4 linked regions of the Tamandua tetradactyla genome follow. The protein of the gene in region 1 interacts with the protein of each later gene in a biochemical or structural test. Links are inferred from orthologs where the notes say so. Each region holds a gene or a part of one and is shown in the gene's direction. Other genes may lie near its edges.

The links.
Region 2: of the proteins of LYN (region 1) and DOK1, one has a biochemical effect on the other in vitro, tested with the Homo sapiens proteins (2 studies listed by BioGRID, with this or other methods). The link is inferred for Tamandua tetradactyla from reciprocal best matches to the Homo sapiens genes LYN and DOK1.
Region 3: the proteins of LYN (region 1) and FASLG form a complex in vitro, tested with the Homo sapiens proteins (2 studies listed by BioGRID, with this or other methods). The link is inferred for Tamandua tetradactyla from reciprocal best matches to the Homo sapiens genes LYN and FASLG.
Region 4: the proteins of LYN (region 1) and KIT form a complex in vitro, tested with the Homo sapiens proteins (2 studies listed by BioGRID and IntAct, with this or other methods). The link is inferred for Tamandua tetradactyla from reciprocal best matches to the Homo sapiens genes LYN and KIT.

The regions. Positions count from the first base shown.
Region 1 is NC_135332.1:99,478,462-99,486,070, forward strand, and holds the start of LYN (tyrosine-protein kinase Lyn), read left to right. Parts: upstream 1-4,599; 5' UTR 4,600-4,848; intron 4,849-7,609. UniProt on the Homo sapiens protein: Non-receptor tyrosine-protein kinase that transmits signals from cell surface receptors and plays an important role in the regulation of innate and adaptive immune responses, hematopoiesis, responses to growth factors and cytokines, integrin signaling, but also responses to DNA damage and genotoxic agents.
Region 2 is NC_135343.1:48,440,423-48,447,499, forward strand, and holds the start of DOK1 (docking protein 1), read left to right. Parts: upstream 1-4,068; 5' UTR 4,069-4,536; coding exon 4,537-4,596; intron 4,597-4,931; coding exon 4,932-5,231; intron 5,232-5,397; coding exon 5,398-5,491; intron 5,492-5,723; coding exon 5,724-5,908; intron 5,909-6,124; coding exon 6,125-6,940; 3' UTR 6,941-7,077. Other genes in the region: LOXL3 (lysyl oxidase homolog 3), read right to left, coding at 142-305, 1,920-2,232. UniProt on the Homo sapiens protein: DOK proteins are enzymatically inert adaptor or scaffolding proteins. They provide a docking platform for the assembly of multimolecular signaling complexes. DOK1 appears to be a negative regulator of the insulin signaling pathway.
Region 3 is NC_135330.1:26,485,828-26,493,763, forward strand, and holds the start of FASLG (tumor necrosis factor ligand superfamily member 6), read left to right. Parts: upstream 1-4,933; 5' UTR 4,934-5,145; coding exon 5,146-5,490; intron 5,491-6,061; coding exon 6,062-6,107; intron 6,108-7,936. UniProt on the Homo sapiens protein: Cytokine that binds to TNFRSF6/FAS, a receptor that transduces the apoptotic signal into cells. Involved in cytotoxic T-cell-mediated apoptosis, natural killer cell-mediated apoptosis and in T-cell development.
Region 4 is NC_135345.1:54,927,187-54,934,445, forward strand, and holds the start of KIT (mast/stem cell growth factor receptor Kit), read left to right. Parts: upstream 1-4,241; 5' UTR 4,242-4,344; coding exon 4,345-4,411; intron 4,412-6,203; exon of another isoform or gene 6,204-6,776; intron 6,777-7,259. UniProt on the Homo sapiens protein: Tyrosine-protein kinase that acts as a cell-surface receptor for the cytokine KITLG/SCF and plays an essential role in the regulation of cell survival and proliferation, hematopoiesis, stem cell maintenance, gametogenesis, mast cell development, migration and function, and in melanogenesis.

The DNA.
Region 1 (7,609 bases):
GCCAGACTTTGATGACAATCAGCCGGACAGAAAGGGATAGAGTCCAGCCCAAACCACTTCAGCAAGATGAACTTGAGCCAATCATTTGACTTTCTGAGACTGTTTTCTTATCTATAAAATGTAGAAAATGACCCATACTTATAAGTGGTTGTAAGGATGGATTAGGAGACTTTAATAAGGATGCCTCAGAAATTAACCTCTTCCCTTCAACTTTGGGAAGTTTCCCAAACTTTCCCCTGTCAAAGTACTGCTCCAGCCCTCTAGCAAAGGGACTACTCCACTGTCTGGAACACTTGCATACTTTCCCAAAAGCCAGTTGTTTTTATGGCAATTGTGCCTGTTATGGCAATTTCGTGATTGAGTTAAATAGAAACTTTTAAAATGAGTGAAAAAATTGTTTCTGTGCAAAGTTGAAGATTTGGAAACAGTCATGGGTAAAATGGAAGAGCAAATAATTCTGCTGAATTAGGTATGAGTGAAGCTTCAGACTCAGAGATTGAGCAGTGAGATAGCTTTGCAAAGCTATGAATGGCAAACAGAACTGCAGTATCCTGGCCGTGGTTCAGGTAAGAAAGATGATGCAGCGTGTCAATTAGGGATTTAATGCTCAAAGGAAACATAGTGGCCTTACCTGAGAGATTGGCAAGGAAAAGAAATTATCTTATAGCTAAATTCAAGTAAAATGTTTAAGGTACATCGTTTGCCGAAGCTGCCATGACAAATACCACAGACAGCTTGGCTTCAATACCAAGCATTTATTGTCTCACAGTTTTGAAGGCAGAAGTCCAAAATCAAGAAGGCAGCAAGGACATGCTTCTCTTGGAGGTGGTAGAGTTCTGGTGATGGCCATGTTGTTGGTCTCTTCCTATGACTTTCTCTGATTTCTGGCTGCTCTCGCATATTCAATTATGGATATATGGAGTAAGGCCAACCCTGATTCAGCCTTCTATCTTTAAAGAGGAAGATCCTGTTCACAAATGAGTCCACACCTTGACCACCTTAACATATTCAAAGATACTATTTAAAAATAGGTTGACACACAGAGGAAAATGGATTAAGACTTGAACATATCTTTTATGGAATACATGATTCAGTCCCTAGCACAGTTTTTTTTTTTTTTTTTAATATTTTTATGACGTCCTCACTTAAAACAACTTTTTTCATCTGTCCCAAGTATATCAGATGAGAGGGCTTCTATTGTATTTAATTAGGAACACTGATGATAAATTGAAACTCATTTGCTTGGTAAATATACCCCACATTCCCCCAGGCTGTTTGATTGATGCGCTTCCCCAGGGGTTCACAATCCTGGCTGTTCATCGGAACCACCGAGAGTAATTTAAAACTCTGATGCCAGGTCCCACCCCAGAGATTTGGACTTACTGGATCTCGGTCTGGCCTGGGCAAGGGGCTATCTTAGCTCCCCGGAGATTCTTCTGCAGAGCCAGTTGAGCATCCTACTCTATGTTACTGGCTACTTGGGCCATAGGTCTGGGGTTTGCCAGGCCCACATGGTTGTAAGAGTCAGGCAGAGAGTTCCATCAGCATTCCCTCCACTTCTCCCACAAAGCCAACCAGCAAACAACTTGCAGGAGTTCCTGAGTTGGGCCAAGAAATCAGAACCTTTTGAGGGAGGCTCACAGCAGGGTACCAAAAGGACAGGTCACCAGGGAAGGGCCACACTGTGGCCACAGGGGAAGGCTGCAGGACCAGGTGCCTGGGGACCAACACCAAATTGCGCACCAAAATCATTCATCCTGGCTGTAAATGCTGCCAACAGTCATCGGGTGGTGAGGCTCTGTGGTAATTAAATTCAGTTGTCAACTTGGCTAGGTGAAGGTACCTAGTTCTGTGGCTGTGGACATGAGCCAATGGCATGTGAACCTCATCGGTTGCTGATCACATCTGCAGTCAGCTAGGAGGCGTGCCTGCCCCAATGAATGATGTTCGATTTAACTGGCTGGTGCTTAAATGAGAGAGCACAACATAGCACAGCCCAAGAAGCTCAGCATACCTCATCTCTGCACTCACAGCTCAACCCAGGCCTTTGGAGTGCAGAGAGAAATCACCCCGGAGAAAGCTGTTGGAACCCAGAGACCTGGAGAGAAGGCCAGCAGAGACCGCCCTGTGCCTTCCCACACAAGAAAGAACTTCAGTTGAAAGTTAGCTGCCTTTCCTCTGAAGAACTAATGAAATAAATCCCCTTTTATTAAAAGCCAATCTGTCTCTGGTGTGTTGCATTCCAGCAGCTAGCAAACTAGAACAGGCTCCATGATAAAGGACAATGTACTTGAAGGCAGGTATTTTATTTCCCTCCTAGTGGATGATGGATATTCTTATATGAATGGATGATGGATATCCATGGATATAAGAATATCCATCATCCACTAGGAGGGAAATAAAATACCTACATATATATATGTATATGTATATATATGTATAATATATATATATATAAGAATATATAATATATAAAATGGCTAATGCCGTTTTCGCCACTTCCCCCTTCTTTCCTACTAAAGGATGTCCCCCACCTTCACCCTATCCAGGGAGCCTGGGTGGATATGCAATCTCCCTCTGTATGTTCATCCTCCATAATGTACTCAATTTAGAGAACACTGTTGAAACCCATCAGTTACTCAATTAACTGATCAATCCATACTAATAACAATTTTAAAGCAACTAACAGAACATTTGCCAGGTACAGGGGGAAACATAATATAAGAAACAATGTCTTCCTGAGAGGAGGTGACTATTTTCCAGTAGTGGGGGGGGTGATGGCTGACCCATGAAACAAAAGCAAGCAATGCCAAGAAACACCTGAATCAAGCTTAAAATCAATGTTGCACAGTATAAATGCAATAGGTGTCCTGGAAAGAAGGTCACCAATGAGGGCTTTAAATCTAACTTTCCAAGAAATGGAATGTACATGGGACTTCAAAGAAGAAATATGAAGATAGAAAATGGGTAGGGAGTGTTCAGGATGCACAAATATAGCCTGAGAGGTGGGGATGGACGCACCCCCTCCCCCCAGGTAAGAAGAAAGAGCTGAGCTCAGCTAGGATCCTCAAGTACAAGGAATTAGAAGTGTTGGAGCTGGGTGCAAGCCTGCATCTGTCTGAGGATGCTTTCGTCTTCACTCTAAGACACATTTTACCAGAGACGACAGGACATTCCAGGGAGATCAACCAAAGCCTAACATTTGTGTACTCTATTCTTGCTTGCCACATGCCTTTAGCCAAAGAATCTCAAGGACTCACTGATAAGATTCCCTTATGTAAACATTTTAATTTGGGGCCAATATTTTAAGAGGTCATTTTGGAGGAAGTCTAGAAATGAACCCCTGAGTAGTGAATTGCTAAGAATCCATCATAGATTTCATTCAATGTTCAACACCTTCCCAAGGGTGACTCCACCCCTTCTCTTTAGTGGGCAACAAACTGAACTGCCTACCAGTGAACATCAGACCTATCAGCAACTTCTTTTTATTCTTGTAAGAAAGTAGTTTGCAAACCTTAGTACTTTCTTATTAGTAACCAATGACTGCTGTGTAGACTGTGTTTCAGGGTGTTCTACTCTACCACATTCTCCCGTGGGGCCAGTCTCTTGAGAACACCGTGAAGGAGAGAAGGTAGTATGTCCAACATGCTTTGGACTTTGTATGGAGTCCATTAGGCGCTATGTAAGTGTTTGCTATTATAAATGCAAAGATCCATTTCTCCAATATATTTCCTTGAAAATTCTACAATGTAGTGCAATCGAGGGATCCTAAGGAATGAAATACCGCTTATAACATGGACTATGATGGAGACAAATCTCACATCTTGATTTGTAAATGGCATTTGCTGAGGTGAACTCTGAGTTTAGAAAGGCAGTCGTTCTTTCAGCAAACATTGGTTAGGCATCAGCTGTGTGCCAAGGACGGTGGTGCTATATGCTCCCATGCAGACAGTGGCAATGAAATTATCACAGAGCAAGCCCTTGGCGTAAGGCATTTCATCGTCCCGGTAACTGAGCGCTAGGCATTCTTGCCTCCGTTTTCCCTTGAGGAAACTGAGGCTTTGAGGAGCTGAGCAACTCGCCAGTTAATTTAACTTCAGAAACTCCTTCTTCTCCCGCAAAATGTGACGCCTCTGTGTACAGCCTCAAGGGGCTTACTCTGTGTGGAGTAAGATTCACTGAGTCCTGAGCACATCTCATCCTTTTCTAGAGAGCTGCAAATGTTGGGAAGGTTCAGAAAGCGCCCCATCTGTTCCCAGGAGCACCTCGGAGAGTAGGCTGGGGGGAAAGGAAGGAGGCGAGAGGTTCCCTGGATGTGCCCACAAAGCCAGAGTCCCGCTCTCCAAACGAGGTCCCTGAAAGCTGCTTCTGTCTAATTCCAGGGAGAAGTTCTAACCTCCTTAGCTGCGCCCTGGAACACCAGGTTTCTTTGCCTTTAAAGCACTGCGCGACAGCCGCACCAAAGACCCAAACTTTGGGCAGGGGCCAAACGGTCACTTCCCCGCCCTCCGGGAGCAGTATGCAAATCCGAGCACCAGGAAGTCCCTGGGACCTCTCGGCCAAGCCCAGCGACAGCCAGTTCCTCTGCCGCCGCGCCGGGCCTCGCAGCCGCTCACTCCCCGCCGTGGCGCCTCAGGGCCAGACGCGCCGTAGTTTTCAGCCCGCAGTACCGGGGTCCGGCGTCATCTCCGCCAGACCCGCGCGCCCCTCTCCCGCCTCCTCGCCCCGGCCCGCCGCCCTCCCCACGCGGGCCGGGCCGGGCCGCCCCGTCGCGTCCCCGCTCCGCGGCCGGGTCACCGTGGAGTTCCGCCGCTGCCGCTGCAGCCTCGCAACTTGCACCGCGAGCAGGTGAGTACACCGCAAGGGAATCGCGGGCGTGGGCAGCGAAGAGGGCCACGGGAGTGGGGCCCTGCCGGTGAGGGGCCCCGAGATGCCGTCAATCTGTGGGTGGTGTGGCCCGGCGGGGATCCAGTACGTGGGCGGGCTCTCGGCAGGTGTCTTGCAGCCGAGCAGCGTAGGGGCGTGGTGGGAGGTCCTGCGCGCAGGGTGGGCGCGCGCACCGGGCATGGGGGTGGAGGGGGCGCTTGCTGTCCCCTGTCCAGCCACTATCTGCGCGCCGCAAGCGTCTCCTCCTCTCCACGAGGGCCGGGCGCGCGCGTGGGACCCTGGCGGGGACTTCTCGGATGCCGTGATCGGGTTTCCCCGCTGGGTCCCGGGTCTCTAAAGGTAAGAGGAGAGCCTCGACCTGCCCGCCCCCTCCCAGGCCGCCTGGGCAGTTGCTTCCTTGGTGACTCCGGGGAGGAGCGGGACGTCCAGGGGCTTCTGCGGAGCTACTGCGCGCCCTCCCACTGAACCGATGCCTCTCCGCCTGCAGATGGGCAGCCCCATGCCTCGTTAGGGAGGAAGCGGATGGTTATTTTAAGAATTCAGGGGTTGCTTTCCTCGCCTTGGGGGAAGGGTGTAAGCATCGGTTCCTACTGTCGTTTGTTATCTTGGCGGACTGTCGGAGGCTTTGCATCTGGAGGGGCCCATGTCATAGCCGCGTGGTCCAGTGGAATTTCTTTGGATATCCGGAGTGCGAGTCTTAATTATCCCAAATCCTCCCAACTTCTTTGCCATCTCAGAAGCCTGGAATGCGGGCGTTGCAGTTTCCTAGCTGTGGGTGAACTGGAGTCATTATTGAAATTCCCTGTTGGTTTCCTCATCTGTCAGAGGAAACCATCTACCGCCTGAACTATGGAGCATAAAGCCCCTCGTACCCAGTATGCATTCCATAAGGTGGCATGGTTATTACTACTTATTGGAAATAAATATGTCTGTAAAAATGAGGCTCTTTGGATCTTTACAGTTTGGCGGTTTTAAACCAAGGTCTCTTCCGATGTACCCATCATCTTCCATGCTGAGACTTTGCTCTCCCAAAATATTTGCTTAAAACAATAAAGGATTTGCTGTCCCAATGCAGGAACCAGGAATCTGATGCTCTAAGAACTAGCCAGTAAAGAAGGCTGACTTAGCTTGTTGTTTGTTGTTTGCCCCCAGCAGAGGTCATGTACAGGAGGCAAGGAAGCTCTTCCTGTACTGTCAGCAGCTAAAGCAGGGCCAACTCCTAGCAGGCACTGGGAGAGTAAAGGAGCTTACTAAGGACTCAAGTCCATTCTAAGGTGTACTTTGCTGGGGAAGGGCGAGAATCAGTCAGTGCCTTGGTTTTCACTGGGCACTATGTGTTTTGAGGCTTGAAGAAAAGTAATTTTATGACTGGGGCCCTTAATGGCTGATCCTCTTTGGATGTAGGGTGGGGATCTCTCTTTCTGGTTAAAGGGTAGAGGGGAGCTGTTATAAATGAAAAGAAAACTGGAGCCAGGAAACTGAGATTTGGTCTCATCCAGCGTTGCTGGAACTGTGATTTGGGATAAATAGGTTGTGTCATTAATTAGCCAACATTTCCCTCATGGTGGGAACCAAAGCCACCTCATGGTTTGTTTTCATGTGGAAGCTCCATGGAAGGAGGAGTGACATTTGTTTTGTCCTGGTGCCCTGCACACATTGGGTACACAATAGGGATGGCTTGAAAGAAGGAATGAAGGGCCTGCCTCAAGCAAGGTCAAGGACACATGGGGACGGGTGAATAGGCTGCTCCTTAAGGCATCCTTAGTCTCTTGGCCCTTTCTGTCTTGTTTCTAAAATGGGAATTTGGGGGACCTGTTGACTCTAAGTTACCTCAAATTCTACTACAAGTGGGAATCTCTACTCAGGGCTCGTCTCTCTTGATCCACCAGAAGGAAGGTCTTGATTTGGGGGTGTGTCCTGCAAAGGTGGGGTTATCCAGTCAAAAAGACCCACTTGATCTTGTAGTCATTGATATTCCAAAGGTGTGTGGAGACTTTGTCGTGTGCCCCCACCTCCACCATCTCCAGTGGCTCCCTTTAAGCAGCAAAGTGGTTCAACAGTTTTATGACTTCCAAGTCGTATATATGTTTGTATTCTATATATGTATGTATTCCATGAAGTGCATTTTGTATTAAAAAATAAATCATCAAAACATTTGGGGTTCCATTTGGTTCAGGTTAATATACAGAACCAAATGAAAACATATTATTTGTTAACAAACTTACATGAATTTTAAATCTGTGCACAGAGAATACAACGTGTACATTCACACATCCTGGAACACTTAGGCTCATGGGTACTGATTATCTCAATTGCCTCCATATACTCAGTATTAGGATTAATATTAAAGGCTCACGGACAGTATCGGTCGTGACATTGGTTAGTGACCTGTCTGACAACAGCGCTGCATCTCAGACCTCTCCTTAGTGATGATGGGCTAACCCTTTCGCCTGCCAGGGGCTCTGAAGCTTCCTGGAGTTCGGTTTCACTTGAACATTTCCTGGCCCCTGCTGGACAGGGAGATTGTGGGTCAGGATCACAGGCCTGGTTCAGTGGCACGGAATCAAGTGATAGAAACGTCTTCTGGCCCCAACGTTAGAGCTTTTCCCACTTGCTTACCTTTAGACTCCGAAGTAAGGACTCAGTAACTTAAAAACAAAGAGGAACTAACTTATCTTTAATAAGTGTTTTAAAAAAATTATGCAGTAACATGTACAACAGT
Region 2 (7,077 bases), on another chromosome or scaffold:
TTTAGATCTGCCCTAACCACATATCACCACCCACAGCCTTCCCTGTCTGGCTATCCTAGATGTGTGCGCAAGCGTGTGTGTGTGTGTGTGTGTGTGTGTGTGTGCGTGTGCGTGTGTGTGTGTGTGTGATGAACTGCAGACCTCGATGACATTGGAGTCTGAGAAGCCAGGGAGGCGCTGGTCCTTGCAGATGACCCCGGCGTCCTCATCGTGGGTACAGTCACTGTTCCCCCAGCCCCGGGAGGCACATTCAGTCACACTCTGCTCTGTCCCTCTGCAATTTAGGTTGTCCAGCCAGATGCGGCCTGTAGTAGGGGAGATGAAGGGACTGAGAGAGGCTGAGGGAGATAGCAGGGGGGAGGGGTGGGGGTATTAGAAATACTGAGCCTGGGGGTTTCCCACCTGGCTGTGAAGATCCTATTTTTCTTTGAAGATGATGGGGTGGGGGGGGAGGGACAGGGAACCCTGCAACGAAATAGGCAAGGGGCACGCAGTTGCCAGAGAGTTGGTGGTGATCTGGGCCTACTCAAGAAATTAGTAGGGTGAATAAAAAACTGAGTCAACAGTGAAGTTCAGATCAGTCCTTACCAGGTCAATGATGACTACAATTAATCAAGTACCCAGTGAGTGTCAGACACTGCTAGGTTCTGTACATATATGATCACTCTAGGAACCGTGTTGCCAGGAAGACACCATCATCATTTTATATAAGGAAATGGAGGTTTAGACAAGTTAGGTAACTTGCTTAAGACCAACCACACAGCCAGTAGATGGGGGCAGGTGTTTGAGCCCAGTCTGTGAGGCTTGGAGATCTAAGATCCTTTTACTGGAGCCACACATCCTCCCACGTGCCTCCCTGCCTGTGCCACTATGCTGCCCCTTGTTCTTCTCAGGCTGGACCCCGCACTGAACAGCACTGATTTCCTCTCAGAATTGGACAGGACATCAAAGGTCGTCCGTCCCAGCCGGTGTGCAGAGACCCCTACGCACCCACTGATAGAGCTTGCTCAGCTTCTGCTGGATACCCTCCTCCCGCCCCACCTGGCTGCTACCCCCATCAGAGACTTCCTGGGACTGTTGATGACTCCCCCACTAGGTCTCAGTCCTTTGATGCCATCCAGAAAAATCGCTCAGTCACATCACTGCCCTGTTCAACTGAAGACAACCGTCTTGTAATTGTCATTGAAGGCTTTTTCTTTCCAGACCAAATGTCCCTGGTTTCTTCAGCTATTCCTCCTTAAAACTTGGCTGCCAAAAAAGTTATTTCCATTTTCTAGTGTCTCTCTTAAAATGTGGCACTCACAAGTAGACATTTTATTCCCGAAGTGGTCTAGCCAGTGGGTACTGGGGCATTGGCTGCTGGTTGCATTAGCTTCTGCCTATCAATCCCAGTGGGCCCAGACAGTCCAGGTATTCCCAGGTCTCACTCAAATTGCTCTTAACCCCCCTCCCCATACCTGTCTTAAGCCTCATGTTTGTCCTTATTCGGTTCCAATTTGTTGGTTTCAGCTCTGGCTTGTAACCTGATTTTGTAGCTGCAGTATGTATTTGTGATCCCTTCTGGCTTTGGGACATCCAGACATCATTTGCCGGCTTTCACCTTCCCACGGAACCAGCTGTACTGAAATACAGGGCTACCTGTATCTGGGCTTCCATGGCATGTGGCTTTGTAGACTCACACACTTTTGTGGCAGAAAGGAACTTAGAGATCATTTAGTCACTTTGCAACTGGGACATTTGAGGCTCAGAGAAAGCAACTGACAACCTAAAGTCACATGAACCTGGGAAGTGACTGTGTTGGCTTGTCATCCATAGGTTTTCTTGACATTGGGTGTTTTTGGTTCCCTGTGTCCCTCTCTGTGACTGTGCTATCTGATACTCCCTCTCCCTGCATTTAGGCCACTGGAAGCATTGCTCACCTGTTCCAGGGCCATATTTGGCACTGTGGGTCCAGCCTGTGGCCTCCGTGAAGCCCAGCTCCCGGCAGAGGATGTGGGCAGCCTGCAGTGTGAAGTCGTCATCACAGATGGTGCCCCACTCGCCGGCACGCTGTATTTCCACACGGCCCTCGTAGGGCTTCCTGGGGAAGCCAGCCAGCCGGAACCGTAGCCCCTCACTTCCGTCTCGTTTCTCGGGACCCATGGATGGGGAGGGAGACCCCAGACACGAGCAGCACAGCAGGCACAGCAGCAGACCCCATGAGCTCCACTGCCAGATGCTGACAGGTTGCATGGCAGAGAAGGCCTGCGTGCCCCAGAAAAAGAGAGAGAGAGAGAGGGAGGAAGAGAAACAGAGACTGAGCGAGGCCCAGAGTCAAAGATAGATGTCGTGAAAGAAAAACAGACCCTGAATAAGACCAAAGAGGGAGACAGAGAAACCGTGGTGAGAGAGGCTCAGGGACTGTGGGAGACAGTAAGAGGGACACACTCTAAATAAAAGCAGAGACACAGTCAAAGAGGAGTGACTAGGAGACTCAGATGGAGGGAGAGGGGAAGAGGGAGCAAACAGCTGCCCCCCCCACCCCGTGTAAATAATAAATCTTCACAATCAGTTGTAACGCTCCACTGTGCCTTTCCCTAGTTCTGCCATCATCACCTCCATTGCTCCCACCCCCCAGTTTGAGAGACCCAGAGGTCAAAAGAGTGATTGTTTTTTTAGAGACCAAGGGTCAGGGACAGGTCAAGATAAAGAGACGGAGTCTGAGCAAGAGACCCAGAGAGAGGAAGACCCAGACAGACAGGATGTGAGATGAAGGGAAACTGTGGGAATGCAAGGGAGACAAACAGAAAGAGGCAGCGGAAGAGAGAGACAGTGAAGACAGAAAGAATGTGACAGGGAGAGAGCTAGGCACACGGAGTTAGGGAGAAATAGGGAAAGGTACAGGCAGCTGTTAAGGGGGGAGCCAAAGAGCAGATGTGGGAGGAACCCAGATGACCCTATTCCGTCAGTCACACAGACTGACAGCCCTATTGATTGTGGAGAGAGGCAGGCCACTGGGGCCCAAGAGACCCTCTGGTCTCAGATCCCTTGAATGGCAGCGGAGCAGAGTCCCATCTGGGGAAGATGTGGTTGCAGGGAGGGCAGAGACCAGACCATCCAGGGAACTTCTGCACCTCTGCCCAGGCTCATGGGCTCTCAGATGTCCCATCAGGTCAGGGGGCCCAGGAGGGCCAGGCCTCACGCAGGGCAGAGATGGGGTGGGGTGGTCGGAGCCTCCAGCCAACACAACCTCCGGCCAACACCGCCTTCTCTGTCACCCGGCAACCAGAGGCCAGGGCGCGGATTTGCACGGCAGCCAAGGCCCTCTCTCCGTCTGGGGCCGTGAACAGACCCTCCACAGCCAGGGGGCCCCCAGAGCATGCTTCCCCCAACCCAGACAAACAACCCAACAAGACAGCTTTGTTCTGGGGACTTTGGCCAGGGGTAAGGCCTCACAGAGGAGCCCCCCAGCCTTAGAGCCCTCTCAGCTGCCTTATTTGGAACCCCTGCCCCCCACCATCTGCTTCTTCTCTCCACTTTTCTTGTATCTCCCCTTTGATAATAATAAAACCCTCCGTTGGTTGGCTTGTCCTTGACTCCAACCCACGCCACTCCTCTTCCCTGGTCCCTTCACCATCCTCTCCATCCTCAACTCCTCTTCCTTCAGCGGACAGCTTAACACCCCCTACCTTTGGCTGAGCGGGGCCTTAGGGGCTGGATGAAGAGTCCCGGTCCCGGGGTTCTGTCTTAAGACTTCCAAAAAAAAAAGTGCTCGGCCAGGGGAGGCCCCCCCCTCTCCGCTAGTCCCGCCCATGTCCCCTGGAGCCCGCCTACATTCCACCCTCTCCCGGGGTTCCTCCCTCGCTGGCCCCGCCTCGGCTTCCCTCGGCTCTCCCCTCCCCGCGGGACTGGCCGACGCCGCGCCCCAGCCCCAGCCTCCCGGTCGGCTCAAAGAAGCTTTCTTTACTCGCCGGTTGGACGCCGGGTAGCTGCGGTCAGGGATCTGGACACGCAAGCGGCCACGGGGCCACCGACAGCCCCCGGCAGCAGCCCGGTGGCGACGGGAGGCCCGGCTCGGCTCGGGGCTGTGGCTCGAAGCCTTCCAGCCCCGGCCCTGCCCCTCCGCCCCCAGCCCCGGCTCGGCCGAGCGTAAACAGCTCAGCTCGGGCCGGGTTAGGGTCGGGCCGGGGCAGGGAAACTGAGACCGGGAGGATGCCCGTGGCCCCTCCTGTGCCCCAGGGTGCCGGCGGCCACTTTCGGGGTGATGTCACGCCATCACTCTGATGTCATGAGGGGATCATAACGTCACACGCAGCTCCTACGCTCAGCCCGAGACCGCAAAATTTCTCATGGTAGAGCTACTTGTCCCCCACCCACCCAGGGCTATGGGTTGGGGCCCGGAAGTAGGGCGGCCGCCGGGTGTTTCTGGGGATCCCGTTTCCCGCTCGCTTCTCGCCCCCCTCCCCACGCGTGGTCCGCCCCGGGCGAGTCCGGCCCCGCCTCTTCCCCGCCTCCAGCCGGCGGGGCCAGGAAGCGCGGAAGGAACCGCCGGGGGCCATGGACGAGGCGGTGATGGAAGGGCCTCTGTTTTTGCAGAGTCAGCGTTTCGGGACCAAGGTAGTAGGGGCTGGGGACGCTAAACCCCAGCAGGGCTAGAGGTGGGCGAGAGGGCCCAGAAGGAGGGAGGGGTGGGCAGCGGGTTGGAGTGCGGCGCGGGGACCCGGAGAGTCCCGCGACGTTCCTCCGAAGTTGCTTTGCACACTCGGGAGAAGCGTCTGCGGGTCTCGGGCTACGCTTTCCCTCTTCCTGGGGAGCCGGAATGGCGATCTCCTAGGGAAACTTCTTGCCCAGTCGGGAAGCCCCAGAGCTGAGCCAGTGCCTCCTCTCCCGTTCGGCCAGCGGCCGCTCGAGATAAGCAGCGCACTCCTCAGAGTCTCGCGCTTTCTCCGCAGAGGTGGAAAAAGACCTGGGCCGTGCTCTACCCGGCCAGCCCCCACGGCGTAGCCCGGCTCGAGTTCTTTGACCACAAGGGGTCGGGCTCTGGAGGTGGCCGGGGGGGCTCGCGCCGCTTGGACTGCAAGGTAATCCGTCTGGCGGAGTGTGTGAGCGTGGCCCCCGTGGCTGTGGAGAGCCCCCCTGAGCCCGGCGCCGCCGCCTTCCGCCTGGACACCGCGCAGCGCTCCCACCTGCTGGCAGCTGACGCGCCGTCCAGCGCCGCCTGGGTGCAGACACTGTGCCGAAACGCCTTTCCGGTGAGGGGTTCCGGGGAGTGGGAAGGGGTCTGGGGCGAATGGCCCTGGGCCCAAGGGACGATGTGAGGCGGGGGGCAGGATGAGGGTCACGGCAGCAGAGGTCTCAGCTGGCTCAGACCCCGGGAGCCACGCTAGGGAGAGTCCTGGACACTCTTTCTTTACACAGAAAGGCAGCTGGGCTCCGACGCCTGCAGAAAATCTACCCAAGCTTTCTGCCTTGGAGATGCTGGAGAACTCTCTGTATAGCTCCTCCTGGGAAGGTAGAGGCTTGAGAAGCAAAAATGGGATCGCGAGAAGGGGTGACTTTGGAAAGGGGTTATTAGAGGGTTCCCGGACCCAGGGGGAAGGGGGAGAGCCCCGGAAGTCTGACTTGGAGTGAGTGCTTGGGCACTGTGCTCCCCAATACTTTCTGGTCTCTACACTCCCTGCACCAGCCCCCCAACCCCCAGTTCTGACCAGGTGCCCCTTGAATCTAATGGCTCTTCCTTTCAGGATCCCAGTTCTGGGTGACTGTGCAGAGGACTGAGGCTGCAGAGCGCTGTGGCCTGCACGGCTCCTATGTGCTGAGGGCTGAGGCTGAGAAGCTGACTCTCTTGACCCTGAGGTCTGGGAGCCAGAGCCTGGAGCCGCTCCTTTCCTGGCCTTACACTCTGCTCCGTCGCTATGGTCGAGACAAGGTGGGGGCGGGGAGGGGGCTATGGGGAAGGGCTTCTGGGGTTCCCCAGCTGAGGATGGGATGGGGCAGGACTGGAAGGAGGGAAACTCTGCCCCTTGGGCTCCTCCTACCTGGCCTACCCCTTGAGTCCACTCCCTCCCCAGGTAGTCTCTTTGATTCTCTAGCTACTTCAGGCCCTGAGACTCTGATGATGTGCTTCTCTCCATACCCTCTTCAGGTTATGTTCTCTTTTGAGGCCGGCCGCCGCTGCCCCTCTGGCCCTGGAACCTTCACCTTCCAGACGGCACAGGGAAATGACATTTTTCAGGCAGTTGAGACCGCCATCCATCAGCAGAAGGCCCAGGGAAGGGCTGGCCAGGGGCACGATGTTCTGAGTACTGATTCCCATGAAGGAGAGGGGACAGGGGGGCAGCTGGCTTCCCCTCCTGGTCCCAAGGAGCTCCTGGGAGGCCCCCCAGCCCTGTACGCTGAGCCCATGGACTCCCTGCGCATTCCTCCAGGCCCTTCCCGGGACTCCTTATACTCAGACCCCCTGGACAGCACCCTTGCTTGTGCTAGGGAGGGGGTACAGCTGAAGAAACCTACCCTCTACTGGGACTTGTACGAGCATGCGCAGCAGCAGTTGCTGAAGGCCAAGCTGAGGGACCCCAGAGAGGACCCCATCTATGATGAACCTGAGGGCCTGGCCCCAGCTCCTCCCCGGGGCCTTTATGACCTGCCGCAGGAGCCCAAGGATGCCTGGTGGTGCCAGGCTCGGGTGAAGGAGGAGGGCTATGAACTCCCTTACAACCCTGCCACTGACGACTATGCTGTGCCACCCCCTCGGAGCACCAAGCCCCTCCCAGCTCCCAAGTCCCAGCGCCCAGCCTTCCCTGAACTTGGTACTGAATTGGATAGTGGCACTACAGGCCACAGTTCAGACACTGCCCTGTATAGCAAGGTCCAGAAGAGTGGAGCCTCAGGGAGCTGGGACTGTGGGCTCTCTAGAGCAGGGAGCCACAGGACTGGGCTCAAGTCAGAGGGCTCCATATGAGAAGAAAGGCAATGCTGGGGAGTTGATAGGAAGACTATAGCAATCAAGAAACCAGTAGAAACTAGGGGCCTGATAGACCTGTGTTAGACCTGAAGGGTCAGGGTAGTGGGAAGGATCCCAAGAAGTCCTAAGAAGTG
Region 3 (7,936 bases), on another chromosome or scaffold:
TTACTTTCTTGACAAAGTCTTTTGAGGCACAAAAGTATTCAGTTTTAAGGAGATCCCATTTATCTATTTCTTCCCTCATTGCTTGTACTTTGGGTATAAGGTCTAGGAAACCATCTCCTACCACAAAATATTGAAGCTATTTCCCTTCTCTTTCTTCTAAGAGTTTTATGGTCTTAGATCTAATGTTTACGTCTTTGATCCATTTTGAGTTAATTTTTGTATAAGATGTGAGATAGGAGGTCTCTTTCATTCTTTTGGATATGGATATCCAGTTCTCCAAGCACCATCAGTTGAGTGCCTTGGCTGCCTTGTCAAAAATCAACTAGCGGAAAAAAAAAATCAATTAGCTGTAGATGATAGATGAGAGGGTCTATTTCTGAATTCTCGGTTCAATTCCATTAGTTGGTGTATATATCCTTATGCCAGTACCGTGTTGTTGTTTTTTTTTGTGTGTGCGTGTGCTCTTATTTTTTTAAAACTTTTTTATTGTATAGTATAACATTTATACAAAGCAAAGAAATAAAAAAGCAATAGTTTTCAAAGCATCCTTGAACAAATAGTTACAGGATAGATCCCAGGGTTTGCCATGGGCTACCATTTGATCCTTTCATAGTTTTCTTTCTAGCTGCTTCAGAATATAGGAGGTTAGAAAGCTTAAATACTTTTTTATTACCACAATGGAATTTTTTTCTTTCTTTTTTGTGAAAAAATAGCATATATACAAAAAAGCAATAAATTTCAAAGCACAGAACCACGATTAGTTGTAGAACATATTTCAGAGTTTGACATGGGTTACAATTCCACCATGTTAGGTTTGTACTTCTAGCTGAGTCACAGTTTGTTTGTTTGTTTTTTTTTACATGGGCAAGGCACCAGGAAATGAACCCAGGTCTCTGGCATGGCAAGAGGGAACTCTGCCACTGATCTACCTTGGCCCACCCCACCACTTTTTAAATCATGGTGTAAAGTGGTTCTCTTCAAAGTACCTGGGATGAAGCACTGATTTTTAAATTTAAAAAATTTTTCAATCCATCATGAACTGATCATTTTGTAAAATACAATAAGAATGAATTAGGAAAATGAAATAAAGACATGTATAAAACTCAAGCCCAATATAAAAAATTAGATTCATCAGATATAAAATTTATTCTGCCCAATTGCTACAAAGTTTGTAAACACTTATTTTCCAATTCTATACTTATCTTACCACCAATGGTAGCAATCAGAGGGCACCCAGAACTGTTCGCATCGCACACTGAGTAGCTCTGGCTTAAAGCGCGTCTTTTGGAGTCAGACCTGGGTTCAAATCCTGCTTCTGCTACATTTGCCTAGTGTCAAACGACCTTCTCTCTCTGGGCCTCAGCTACCTCATGTTTAAACTAGGGAGAAAAACAGCTTATTGCAAATACAAGTAGGAAACAATGCCTGTAATGTCCTTGGCATGGGGCCTGGCACAGACTGGGCACTGGATGCTGCCGAACTCGTGGTGTTTTGGTGCAGCTCTGCCAAGCATAGTGCTGGGGGCCTGGGAACATGAAGCTGGTTGGATGCAGGCCCCACCCTCAGGAAGCTTTCCATCCAATGGGGGAGATAAGACATGAATATGAACGTAACCAAAGAGGCAAAACGTGAGCTGTAGCATAAGACAGGCTCCCGTGAAGGGCTCAGGATGTTTCAAGGAGGGAGAAATAAATTACATTCAGCTGGGAAGTAGAATTTAAGCTGAGTACCATGCTGTTTTGATCACTGTAGCTTTGTAATATACTTTAAAATCAAGAAGTAAAAGATCTCCAACTTTATTTTTCTTTTCAAGATGTTTTTAGCTATTTGGACATCTTGTTCTTCCAAATAAATTTGCTTATTAGTTTTTCTATTTCTGCGAAGTAAGCTGTTGGGGTTTTGATTGGTATTGCATTAACTCTGTAAATCATTTTGGGTAGAACTGACATCTTAACTATATTTGGTCTTAAAATCCATGAACACCATATGTCCTTCCATCTACGTAGATCTTCCTTGACTTCTTTTAGCAGCTTTTTTTTTTTAAGTAAAAGCCATGATTTTAAATTATTAAAATTAGAAGCAAACAAATATATTTTGGAGGTTACTGACAATTTGCTCATGACATTGCTGATCGTTAGCAGTGTTTTGTAGTTTTATCCCTTACATTCTTGGTTGAATTTCTTCCTAGATATTTGATTCCTTTGGTTGCTATTGTAAACAGGATTTTTTCCTTGGTTTCCTCCTCAGATTGCTCATTACTAGTGTATAGAAACACTAATGATTTTTGCGTGTTGATCTTCTATCTTATCTTGCTAGTTTGCTGAACTTGTTTATTAGCGCTAGTAGATTTGCTATAGACATTTTAGGACTTCTACTGAAGTCCTGTCATCTGCAAACAGTGAAAGTTTTACTTCTTCCTTTCCAATTTGGATGCCTTTTATTTCTTTTTGTTGCCTCGTTGCTCTACCTAGAACTTCCAGCACAGTATTGAATAACTATGGTGTCAGTGGGCATCTTCATATAGCATAATTCTTACTGGAGAATACTGGAAATTTGAGAGCAAGGAATATTGCATCCTAGTCTGAGACTGAGGGGTCCATCAGTCTAGAGGTAAAATTTTGAGATATTGGATATCAAGCATTGACTTGACACTTTTCCCTGCAGCTCCTCTCTCCATCCCCACCTTATTGAACCTTTTAGAAAGGTCAATTACATTAGGTCTGTAGATGAATAATTTGGGGGAAATTTGATAAATTTGCAAAGACAAGAACAAAAGCTAATGTTTGAGGAATGCTTACTTTGTTGCCAGGGATTATTGTAAGCATATAAAATGCTTTGACTCATTTCATTCTTGCAGCACCCTATGAGGTGGGTACTATTATGATCATGCTCACTTTTATAGGTGAGGGAACTCAGGCACAGAGGAGGGAAACTGACATGTCCAGTTCACACAGCTAATGCATGGTGGAGCTGGGGCTTGAACCCAGGCATGTTAATTTCTGAACCACATTCATAACTGTCATGCAGTGCTATCTTTCTATCTTCCCCATACAAGATGTGCCACATTTTTCCATTTGTATCTTTGCCATTTTCAGTGAAATTATTTTAGTTTTTCAAATACAGTTTTATATAACTCCTGCTATAGTTATTCCAGGATATTTTAAGGTTTTTTTTTTGTTTGTGCACATGATGAAATCTAAAAATTAAAATCTGTGATTGGTTATTATTTATGAATTTTAGACGTATTGTCTTTCAAGACTATGAGCAAAACCATGTGAGCTTAAAAGCACACTGACTCTGCCCGCCTCCAAAAGAGAGTGAGAGCATCATAAGTGAGTCCAGTCAGTCTCATCATGGCATTGTTTTATGACTGAGACTGGGATGCAGGCAGAAGTAAGAGGCAGTAAGAGTGGTTGAAGTCTGACTATGAGTCTTGTGTGTCAATTCCAGGGATTTGGATTACTCCTGCAATCGAACCTTTTAACAGGTTTTACAGGGAAATAAGATAATTGGAGTTTCGAAGCATCACTCTTGCAGCATTTTGCAGGACCACCTGGGCTTGTGAAAGGTTGTGGCGGTGGGGACCAGTTAGACTGCCACTTCAATATGTCAGATGAGAGATAATACAAGTCTGCGGGCAATATTTGAAGGAAAAATAGGGACACCTATGTGAGAAACTTGACTCAGGTCAAATCGAAAGTCATGGGAGAGCAGTTAAATGTTGGGGAGAGGAAATGAGAGGAGTTCATGTTGTCCACGTGGCCTCAGGAGAAACAAGTTGGACTGGAATGGGGGGGAGTGGAGGGCAGAAAGTGGCAAGGAAATTATATTTGGTGTTGGCTTGGTGCGGGTGGGACAACCAAGCAATAGTCACAGAAATCCCAAAGCATAATATAAAAACTAACAACATTTGTAAAGCAGAGCCTTCCAATGGATTGGGAGAATGACTGGGACTGCAGTTGTGCTCTTGGAAGTTATTGGTATACAAATACTATTTAAATCAGATGCAAGTGTGAGGTCCCTGATGGTTAGCTTTGCTCAGATAAAGTTGTCAGTTTTAGCTAAAACCAACTAACCGACCAATGAAACAAATGACAATAACAGTAGCAAATAGGACTCTGTTACATTTGAATTTCAAATAAACAATGAATAACTTTCTAGAATGTCCTATGCAATATCAGGAACATAATTATACTTAAAATGATACATTATTTATCCGAAATTTAATTGACCAGGTGTCCTGTATTTTATCTGGAAACCTAACAGAGTTTGCAAACAGAAATTCCTGCAGGGATCGGGAAGGCCATTTCCCTGGTGGGTGGTATGTGAGGCATGGTAGGGGCCGGTGAGTGTGGCAACCTGGAGTACCCATGCCCTATCTAAGGAATCCACAATGTGAAAAGTGGACAACCAATTAAAAGAAAAACATTAGGAGGTAACAACAAACAAATCTGTAGGTTCCAAAAACTGGTTTGCAACTTCTGACCTGTTCTCTAGAGAGTGGGTGGAGCAGGCTTTTAAACCTGCAAACCTTTGAGGTCAAAATTATGTTGCTTTGAAACAGCAGGGTAAATAGAACCTGGGTTAGGGGAAGGGGTGGCAGCTGGGGGAGGACTTCCTTATGCAGAAGGGAAGATGTGGAAGTGATTCCTCTGGCCACGACTCAGGGGTCTCACCCCTCAATACCCCTGAACATGCCCCATGACCCCTCTCCCTGAAGTCAGGCAGTGGGTAATGCCTGCAGGCTGACCCCCAATGTTTACCTTCTCTAGCAGCGCCTGAAAAGAGAAGCCTAAAGTGTCAGCATCTTAGGTTTCCCAGCGACAGCAACTGGGGCTTTGAAGGTTTTCATCAGAAAATTGTGGGCGGAAACTTTCAGGGGTTCGCTTTGAGCCTCTTGAGTCTTCTTAGGTTCAGAGGCAATGTGAGTGGGTGTCTCTCTGAGAAGCATATAGAGAGAACGAAAGAAGAGAACGAGAGCGAGAGGTGTTTCCCTTGGCTGTGGAAACTCTATAAAGAGGGCTCTGGCTTTGCTTCTCTCGAGCAGTCAGCAACAGGAATACCCACTGCTGACACCATAGCCTCCAGGGGATTGAGAAAAAGTGAAATCCTTTTCCTAGGGGCAGACCTGGGTCACTGGCAGCTATGCAGCAGCCCTTAAATTATCCATATCCCCAAATCTACTGGGTGGACAGCAGTGCCAGCTCCCCCTGGACCCCGCCAGGGTCAGTTCTCCCCTGTCCATCCTCTGTGCCCACAAGGCCTGGTCACAGGAGGCCACCGCCGCCGCCACCGCCACCGCCGCCGCCGCCGCTGCCGCCGCCTCCACAGCTGCCTCCACTACCGCCGCCACCTCCAAGGAAGAGGCACCACAACACAGGACTATGTCTCCTCGTGATGTTTTTCATGGTGTTTGCGGCCCTAGTAGGATTGGGTCTGGGGATGTTTCAGCTCTTCCACCTGCAGAAGGAGGTGGCGGAACTCCGAGAGGTAAGGCTGGGCTGTGGATTGCCTTGTGCTGGAGTCACTGGGCCTAAGGCGGCTCTGCTGAGGTGGGACGGGGAGAGCTAGTGCAGTCTACATGGAGCAAGTCTGTCTTGCAAAGTGCTTTTCAACCCCTTTTCCTATATTAGAAGTGGGTTGTTCTAGTCATTCCTTTCTGCAGGTAGAGAAATGCAGACACATTAGAGTGAAAGGAATTTTTTCTCTCTTGTGAAGTATCGTCACCAAAATAGGATTGGCATTATAGTCCTTCCTTTCTTTCTTAATTGGCAAATCAGCCAGCTGGATCACTTAGTGATTCAAGAAAGAAACAGAGCTTTGAGTGTTGCTTAAAAGTGGATTTGTGCAAATGGCCAAACCAAATCTTGAAAATTCTTAAAAAATATTCCAAATCACAGAACTGAGGTGCAGACAGCCACAAGTGCTTGGCCAAAGTCTGGTTTTAGGAGAGATTTTTGAGGCATTTGGATTCTTTTTCTTGGCTTTGGTTTATTTGACAATCCTGTCTCCTTTTAAAGGATTCTACATTTATTATGCTTTTCTCTTTTCCTCTTTCCAGTCTACCAACCAAAGGTATATAACATCATCTTTGGAGAAGCAAATAGGTGAGTCCTTTCATGTATGTACACTGAGTTGTCAGAGATAATCTTCAACATTGAGCCACGTCGGTGGAAAGCCTTGAATTTTGTTGACATTCTTGAGTATATGTATACTACGACAGGGGTTCTGGCTAAATCGAAACCTCTGGTCATTATGAAAGCTGCTTTAAAATGCCAAATGAATTTCATTGTTCAAAATTAGTGTTGCTAAACTCTACACACAGCTCAAAATAGTATCCACTTGACTTAAAATGGGCACTCATAACCTTGGCCCTTTGTTCCCTTAGCATTTGGCTCCAGGCTTGTTCTTGTTCTCAGGATTTCTGGTTCAGGTGCATAAGGTTGTGGCTGTAAATCTTAGGGAAAGAGATGGACATGGAGGCAGTGAGCAATGATTCTAGGAATTGTCCTGTCTGTAAAAGAGATCATTCAAGAGTCAAGCTTTGTTTTATTTTTTGTGTCCTATATTGTGGGGTCACATCTCATTATTTTTCCATGTGAGTCTCCAGTTATTGCAGCATTATTTGTTGAATTTTTATTTGTTTGCTTGTATTTTGGAAAGTGCATGGACTGGGAATCGAACCTGGGTCTCCCGCATGGCAGGCGAGAATTCTACCACTTAATTACCCTTACACCCCCCAAGCTTTGTTTTTAAAATACTTAATAGTATATAAGTAAGCTTTTAAAAAGTAGGCAATCAATTTCTCAATTAGGATGGTTCTTTTGCAGTCACTAAAATGTTTGGCCAAAGAATAGGCATTATTCAAAGTCATGCGCTGCCTTTGTTAATAAAGGAAAATCCTTTGTATAAGACCCTGGACAGGATAGAGGTGAAGATGCTGAACAGGGACCGGAGGTGTCAGGACATAATTTTGGAAGCTGAGGACAGATAGATTTTGGATATTACCCATTTGTCTTAAATTAAGATTCATTGAATTTTAAATTTGGTTAGAGTTGGAAAAGAGAATAGAGCTTATCCAAACCAGCCATCACATTTCTCAGAAGAGAAACAAAATCCCGGACAGATTAGGTGCAATGCTCAAAACCATTCTTCGGAACTGGGACTAGAAGGAAACTGGCTCCGGAAGCCTGATCACCTACAAGCTTTCTAGTCCATTGAACAGACGCCTTGTGAAATAGGGAAACTCCTGTCTCTCTGTGATAGCCAGGGAATGAGAAATAAAGATGAAAAGTAGAATCCCTCTGCAAAGACAATAGGCAAATCTCGTCCTTAGAAACTGGGAAGAAAAGAGAAGGCAGTACTAGCCATTCATTAAATGGAGTCTGTTCTGGTTTCTCAGGATTTTCCTACTGCAGGGGACCCCGATATCTTGCTGCCCTAGAATGTAAGCTCTTGTAGGAGCCAACATGAGGATCTTCTGGTCCCCAGTGCTGGGTCAGAGGCCCTAAGTGTTAGAAAGTACAGAGGTACCCAAGCAGAGTAGAAATATCTGTTAGAAAAAATGAAGACTTTGGAGGACTTCTAAATAGAAATAACTTTAAAAATCAATGGAATGTGGTTGGTGAAACAGTTACTTTACTACTAACTAATTTCTACCCCACTCTCTGGAGTCATTTCAGTGATTAAAAGTCAAATGAAAAAAATGAGTCAGGTCTACCTGCCATGGTAAACTAGATCTTCTCTAGATCAACCCAGAAGAACCTGAAGTTGGTGAATTATCACATGGAAATCAAGTTAGTAACTTTGTGAGTAAGATATAGAAGTGAAAATGAAAACAAGGGGATACCTGTTTTCACCCATCAAAATTGGTAAAGATTAAAAAAAAAACCTGAAAATACACAAATTAGCAGAAATGTGAGAGGAAAGGTCTTAT
Region 4 (7,259 bases), on another chromosome or scaffold:
TTATACTGCCATCAAAATTATATTTTCAAGGATTTTTTAATGATCTGGGACAATGCTTAATGATATAAGTAGTAAGAAAAGTGGATATAGAATGAGGTGGGACTCAATGTCAAGGGATTGAGAAAACCTTCTCCACCAAAAGGGGGAAGGGTGAAATGAGACAAAATAAAGTGTCAATGGCTGAGAAATTCCAAACTGAGTTGAGAGGTTACCCTGGAGGTTATTCTTATGCATTATATAGATATTACCTTTTTAGTTAAGGTGTAATGGAAAGGCTGGAGGGAACTGCCTGAAAATGTGGAGCTCTGTTCCAGTAGTCATGTTTCTTAAAGATGATTGTATAATGATATAGCTTTCACAATGTGACTGTGTGATTGTCAAAACCTTGTGCCTGATGCTCCTTTTATCTACCTTATCGACAGACGAGTAAAACATAGGGATTAAAAATAAATAAATTATAAGGGGAACAAATGTTAAAATAAATTTAGTAGATTGAAATTCTAGTGATCAATGAAAGCGAGGGTTAAGGGTATGGTATATATGAATTTTTTTCTGTTGTCTTTTTATTTCTTTTTCTGAATTGATGCAAACGTTCTAAGAAATTATCATTATGATGAATATACAACTATGTGATGATATTGTGAGTTATTGATTATATATCAAGAACGCAATGATCATGTGGTAAGAATGTTTGTATTCATATGTTATGTTTAATAAATTAATAAATTAAAAAAAGAAAACTTGTAAACATTGACAAAAACTGGATAGAAAATCAGAAAATATAGTAAGGTCTTAAATTATGCAGGGGGAGAAAACCACCTCACACGTAAACAGAAAAAAAGATTAGAAAGAAACATATCCAAATGAACTCTTCAATGATTATATCTTGGGTGATATTGCTTTGCTTTGCTATTTTATCTTTTATTGATATATTATATATTCACATGCCATGTAATCACCCAAAGTGTACAATCAATGGTTCACAATATCATCATATAGCTGTGCATTTATCATCACAATCGACTTTCTTTGATTTGTTATTTTTAATTTTTTTGGCATTTTCCAAATTTTCTACAGTAAACATTTTTACTTTTATGATCAGAAATAAAACTTTTTTCAAGTTAGAAATTTTTTTCTGTGTGAGACTGCAATAAACATCCTTTGTTCTGTTTGTTCAGCATTATTCCTCCTTTTCCCTTTTTCTTGGGGACATAATTATCCCCCTCCCCCCATTCTTAGGCCCCATGGTGTGGATGAAGTAGACCTCCAACCTCTGGCTCCAGAAGTGGGTGCATAACTCAGACCAGGCCAGTCATCATATTCCATCCTTCTGGCTTCCATCACTGGTCCCAGATGGGCACATAACTTGAGTCAGGTCCATGAGACTCAGTTTCAGCACTTTTTATAGGAGCTGTTTATGAGGCCAAAGAAGTTCTGCTTCCACTGGTAGTAATATGGGATAAGCCAAATGCCCAGCCTGAACGCATGCGAGGACAGTGAAACAAGACAGAGGAAAGTATTGCCAAAAGTTGAGGATGGAGAAACATACCCACACACCTTTTCAAGTCCTCATGACTATGAGTCCCTGGATCTAGGAAAGTCTGGAATCAGCACTTTCATCCCTGGGTTTTCCACTTATAAGAACCAATTGATTTAAGGGTTCTTTGTTTACCCCCAGTTTGCACTGGGCATCAAGCAAAGAGTCCTCACTAATATGATTATAAAAAGAACAATATATACAAAGAATAACTCATGAAGGGGTCCAAAGCTATCATAAAATACAGTATGGACACTAACCAATGAGTGTACATCCTTCCTGAGATATAAAGCATTTCAATCATGGCAAATGTTCTATTGGAGAGTGCTGATCTATAATATAATTAACATAATATAGTCATAGTCATATGTATATTATATATAATATAGTCATAGCACTTTATATATGTTTCCTCTTGGTATATAGCAGGCTGGGGATATTATCAAAAATAGTGAACAACCTTAAAGGTACAGGTACTGGAAGCGCTGCTGTGTCTGGCAGTAGACCTTTAATTGCTGGATCTAAGGAGATTTGGGGTGTCTTATGGGAAGGTTGGGGGTAGGTGGTACTTAGGAGGTGCTTAATTCAGTGGCTTTTTCCCAGTCAGTACAGAAAGATTTCAATATTCTACGAAACAATATGGCCAGATAGGTGTGTACTGGCTGAACATGTTAGCAGATATTACAGTTTCTTGTTTGGGAGGCTATTTTCCCAGCTGGATTGTGAATTCCCCCAGGGCAGGGACTTTGTCTCCTCCATTTTTGTCGGTCTTGTGCCTACCTAGATGCTCAATAAATGGATGAACATGAGTGACAGTTCACCATTGTATAATTCCTATATTCTGATTTTTTTCCTGATAGAATCTTTCCTGCCTAGAATTAAATTTATTTCATCCACTCTTCTGAAGATTTGTTATCCTCTCCAGGATCAGTTAACTGAAGAAGAAAATTGTAAATTTTTCTCTCTCAGGCATAATGTTGATATTTTAACTCATAGAAACTTTTTTTTTCTCACTACAAAATAGATTTTAGAAATAAATCAAGATTTGAGAAACTTTTGATTGCTTCTAATGGTATCTTTTATCTCTGCTATCTTAAGAAAAAAATGTGGTCTATGGGCCAGAGCAAAACAGAGACCTTTTGAGTTTCCATTCTCTCACAGCTGTCAGATTTGAACCATTTTCTAGGAGATTAGGGTGTAGGTTCCCATCAGAACGGTGAGGGCAGGGATGGAATCTATTAACTATTGCCCTCCCTGTGCCTAGCTCCTCCCTGCTTCACAGAAGACACACACTGAATGCTTGTTTAATGGATAAATACATTTAGAGAGGCAGTACATGTTGGTCATTTGATCATCCTCTAGTCGTGATAATTTTAAAGTGGTTAGTGTTAAAAGTCATTATTCTTAAACCAACTTAGATCCTTTCAGTATCAAATAGAGCTTTTGATAGTAATTGAATATCTGGGTAATTATAAATTTTGGATGATACTTTAGAGAGTCTAGGTAAATCTAAATTATTCTATCCCCTTTTCTGATGGGCCCCTCCCATTTATTTTTCACTCTTAAGCTCTCTGGAGGGGCGTTTTACTCGTTTATTAGAAGGCATGAGGAAAGCTCACCACACCTAGAGACAGTCTTATACTATGGGCTCAAATGGCAGGTCTCCTTTAATGTGTGAGATTGGGCCACTTGAGAATTAAAATAAGTATATCAGCATGAAGTACTATTGGCGAGGAAGAACGATATAACCCTAATCAGATACTGTCGCTACATTTCATTCAAGGACTGCCACCATAAACAGCTAGGAAAGCACGTTCTATGCAATGGTACCTGGTTTAAAGATTATCATTTTACTATTATTTCGCTCCTGGTACCGGGTAGAGCAGCTAAGTTAGAGGAACGCAGGGATCCTCAGCCTTCTAACTGTTGTGCTAGCAAGACAGAGAAACCGTACACGGGCAAAAAAAAAAAAAAAAAAAAAAAAAAGGCGGCCAGAGGGCTTCGCGCAGCGATTGGCGAAAAGGTGTTAAAAACCCAGGCCCCAAAACAAACTTCGGAAATGGCTCCACTTGGCTCAAAAGCCCCAGTCTCCAAGAAAGTATTGGCTGGGGTTTGTTGGACGGAGGCCACGTCGACCAATAGAAACCAACTGTTCTTACAGGTTACCTAGCAGGTGGAGAAACTAAGCATAAAGAATTACCTAAACCCTCTATCAAGCCTTTTACCGCGGTGCCAAGGCGCAACGCTAGAAGAATGCCGCTGCCCAATTTTCTAATCTCTTCTCGCGTCCCATTAACACTTCCAGGGTTAACGGCGATCAGTCCCCTCCCACGTGAGCATGCACAAGGGGCTGCGGTCAATCTTTATTGTCTGGGGAACACCTGCCAGGTGGCAAGCTGGTGCTCCAATGTGCGCACGGTGCCCGGCTTCTCAGAGCGCGCAGGCAACACCACCACCCTCGATTCGGCACTACCTTTAGCGGCCAGACCACATCACGCGGGAGGAGAGAAGGAGATGCAGAGGCCCTCGGGTCAAGACCCGGGGGCGTAGACCAGCGTACCCTCCCCTCCCCCCACCAGGGATAGCTAGTCGAAAAAGCAAGGGCCAGAGACGCTGAGAAGCGCCGAGAGCGAGGGGGGAGGGAGGGAGAGGAGGCGAGGAGGGGCGTGGCCGGCGCGCAGAGGGAGGGCGCTGGGAGGAGGGGCTGCCCCTCAGAGCTCTCGGCTCTGGGGGCTCAGCTTTGCCGCGCGGCTTACACTTGGGCGAGAGGAGGAACGTGGTACGGAGCTCCGATCCAAGCCTCCGCGATGAGAGGCGCTCGCTGCGCTTGGGATTTTTTCTGCGTGCTGTTCCTCCTGCTCTGCGTCCAGACAGGTGGGGAAGGGCGGTGGGGACTCTGGCCGCGTCCCCCACCGCAGCCAGTGTTCCCCGAGGGATTGAGGCTGCTGGGGTGTGTCTGGAGAGGTGGGCGCGGGCCCTTCTGGTCCCAGGTGTTAGAGACTCCGGGAAGATTCGAGGCGTTCCCAGGGCTCTCCTGCGCCTTGCTTCGCTCACCTGTGCGAGGAGCCTCCAGTCGCTGGTCGTGGTGGGGCGCTGAGCTGAGGGGTCTTCTGGGAATGAGGGCAGCGAGGGGACTTGGGCAAGAGCGAGGCTGAAGGCGGACGGCAGTCGAGCTGCACGCGAGTTTGGGATTTCTTTTGTGCGGAGGGTGCGCGGGTGGCAGAGGAGAGGACGGTTTGGAGGCTAGCACCCAGCGCGTTATCTCCACCGTGCGAGGCGCGGCCGCAGCTTCCTTTTGTTAAAAGTTGCGTGTGTGTGACCGGTTCATCAGAGGACCGACCTGCATGTTCTTAGCCGCGTGGAGGGCAAAGTTTGAGAGCCTTCTCTTTTCTCTGCGACTGCTCCTTTCCAACGTGTGGCGCTCTTTGTGCCCAGAGGTGGGGACGGGCCCGCTGCCGCCTCTGCTCGCGGCGCGGCCCTTAGTGACGCTTCCCGGCCCCCCACCCCCCACCCCCCGGGTTATGGTTTTCCAAAGGAAGCGTGCGGCGTGCGCTCTGGGGTCGGACCCCGACAACCTGGAGGTGGCGGCGACAGGGACAACTTGGGCAGAGCGTGTGGAAAGCAGCCGCTAGGTTGCAGACTTTTGGGTTTTGTAAATGCTGTGCGGGAGGCTCGCCCAGTTCTGTCGCGGTGCGATTTCATTCCTGCCACACGCTCCGAGAGCGACTTGGGGGCTGTGTTTGCCTCCTGCTCCGGGAGAGACGGCGACAGCGCTGTCCCAGGCCGCCGCGTGTGCCCAGGCCAGAGTTCCCGACCAGGCTAGCGAGACTCTGGAAGCCCTCGCCTCGGTGTCTGCGACCTGTGAATGCAAATCCCAGTTCACCTCGGGAATTTTGACATTCGTAACATCCCCTGTCACGTAATATTTATACTTAATGGGTGCGTGACGTGGGATGGTTGGAGATGGAATGGAACTTACCGTAGATCTTACTTGATTTTTGAAGCTGTGAGGAAATCCGGTTACATCCGCGTGGGAACTTGGTCTGAAGGTGAAGTGTAGGACTCGCAGGTTCCTGGGTCCCCTCAGGCTGATTCCCCCCTCCCCCTTCCCTTCTGGATGTCACTGGTGTGCGCGAGCGTCACCCAAATCCCTGAAGCCCTCCTCTATCTCCGGTCATTTTTTTAAACCTTTACCCTGATGATGTACGGATAAGAAAGTGAGTCTGAACTGGAATGTAAGGGCTCGAAAGGAAGCGTCGCAGTGACTTATTGTTACCCTGTGCAGACCACTGGTCAGTTTACCCATAAAGTCTCCAGACACTGCCTTTTCCCTCTTGGTCTTGTAAGGCATTGTGAGAGCTTTCCTGTGGGGGAAGAGAGGCCTTGCATTTGGACCTCTGAGAGGTGGGAGGGAATATCCAGATGCCGTGGCCGATTTGATCGCCTAGTTTAAAATGACACTTGGTTATTTTATTTTTGTGCCTTGACCTTTTAAATTTCAGTTAAGATGTATGATCAGAGTAGGACAAGAGAAAGAACTCACTGCCATTTTTTTTTTTTTTTAATTAAGTGAATCAATTGTTTCCTGCTTCCTCAGATTTTTCCTGCTGGATCCAATAGACTTTTTTGTAAAGAGAATTTTAAAGCTTTCTCTTGTGGTGGGGAATGGAGGAGGGGTCAGTGTGATGTAGCCAAAAAGCCTTGAACTGCTTGTCTGATTGGGTTTCCTCAGCCATTCTTTGCCTGCTATGTCCTTGGGCAGGTCCTTTAAATTCAAGGGATCCCAGTTTCCTCAAGAGTGCAATGAGGCATCTGCATTAAAAAGGATCCTTTTGGTTCAAAATTCTTCTCCTTTACTCTTGAGTGTAGATTTAGCACTTTTCACAACTCTTTCCCTGATGCCTTCCCGCAGCTTTGAAATTCCCTTGCTTTTTCTGGTCTCTGGGGCCACTTGGTGTGTCCCTACCCATCTGCCCCTGGTTAAAGCGGGGAGATGTGGTTTATGCTGCCTTTTCTTCAGTCCCCACCTGCTCCCCTACACATTTCTCTTTGAGGGTTAGGAGAGGTGCCAGCTACTAGGTTCTCTTCCTGTATTTACAGCTTCCAGTATTTACAGCTCCCGTGCCACGCAGGATGAACTTGGAAGGAATGGTGAATCATACCTTCCTCTTGTTCCTGCAGGTGTGAGGTCACATTCCTCCCCAGCAGCTAGACACACAGGGTATTGCAGATTATTATCCTGATGAAAATCATAACATCATGTTATAAATGGATCCCACATAATTCATTTAATCCCATTCTGGACTTTCCCACCTTAACTTCACTTTTTTCTATGACTTTATAACCATCGTATACTTAAATGCTTTTATAACAGTTTTTAATAATCTCTTATTACAGGGCCAAGTGCCAGGCCTTGTGCTAGGGGCTTTACCGGTCATTTCAGATCCTCATCAACAAGCCCCAGAAGTAATTTTTTTACTGTCCCAACCATTTTCCAGCTGGAGAAACTGGCTGAGGATAAACTATCCAAGATAATCAGTAAGGATAGCTTGAGATCGGTCCCCTATTTCCAACTGTATGACCATTTTCACATTACTCACCAAAATGTGTTTAAAGTGAGATTCACATTGATTCATTAAAAAATATATAGTCCAGGCATTGGAGGTTCTGGGAATACAGGAGTGAACAAGATGGCTAGTTTTTTTTTGGGGGGGGGGGGTAG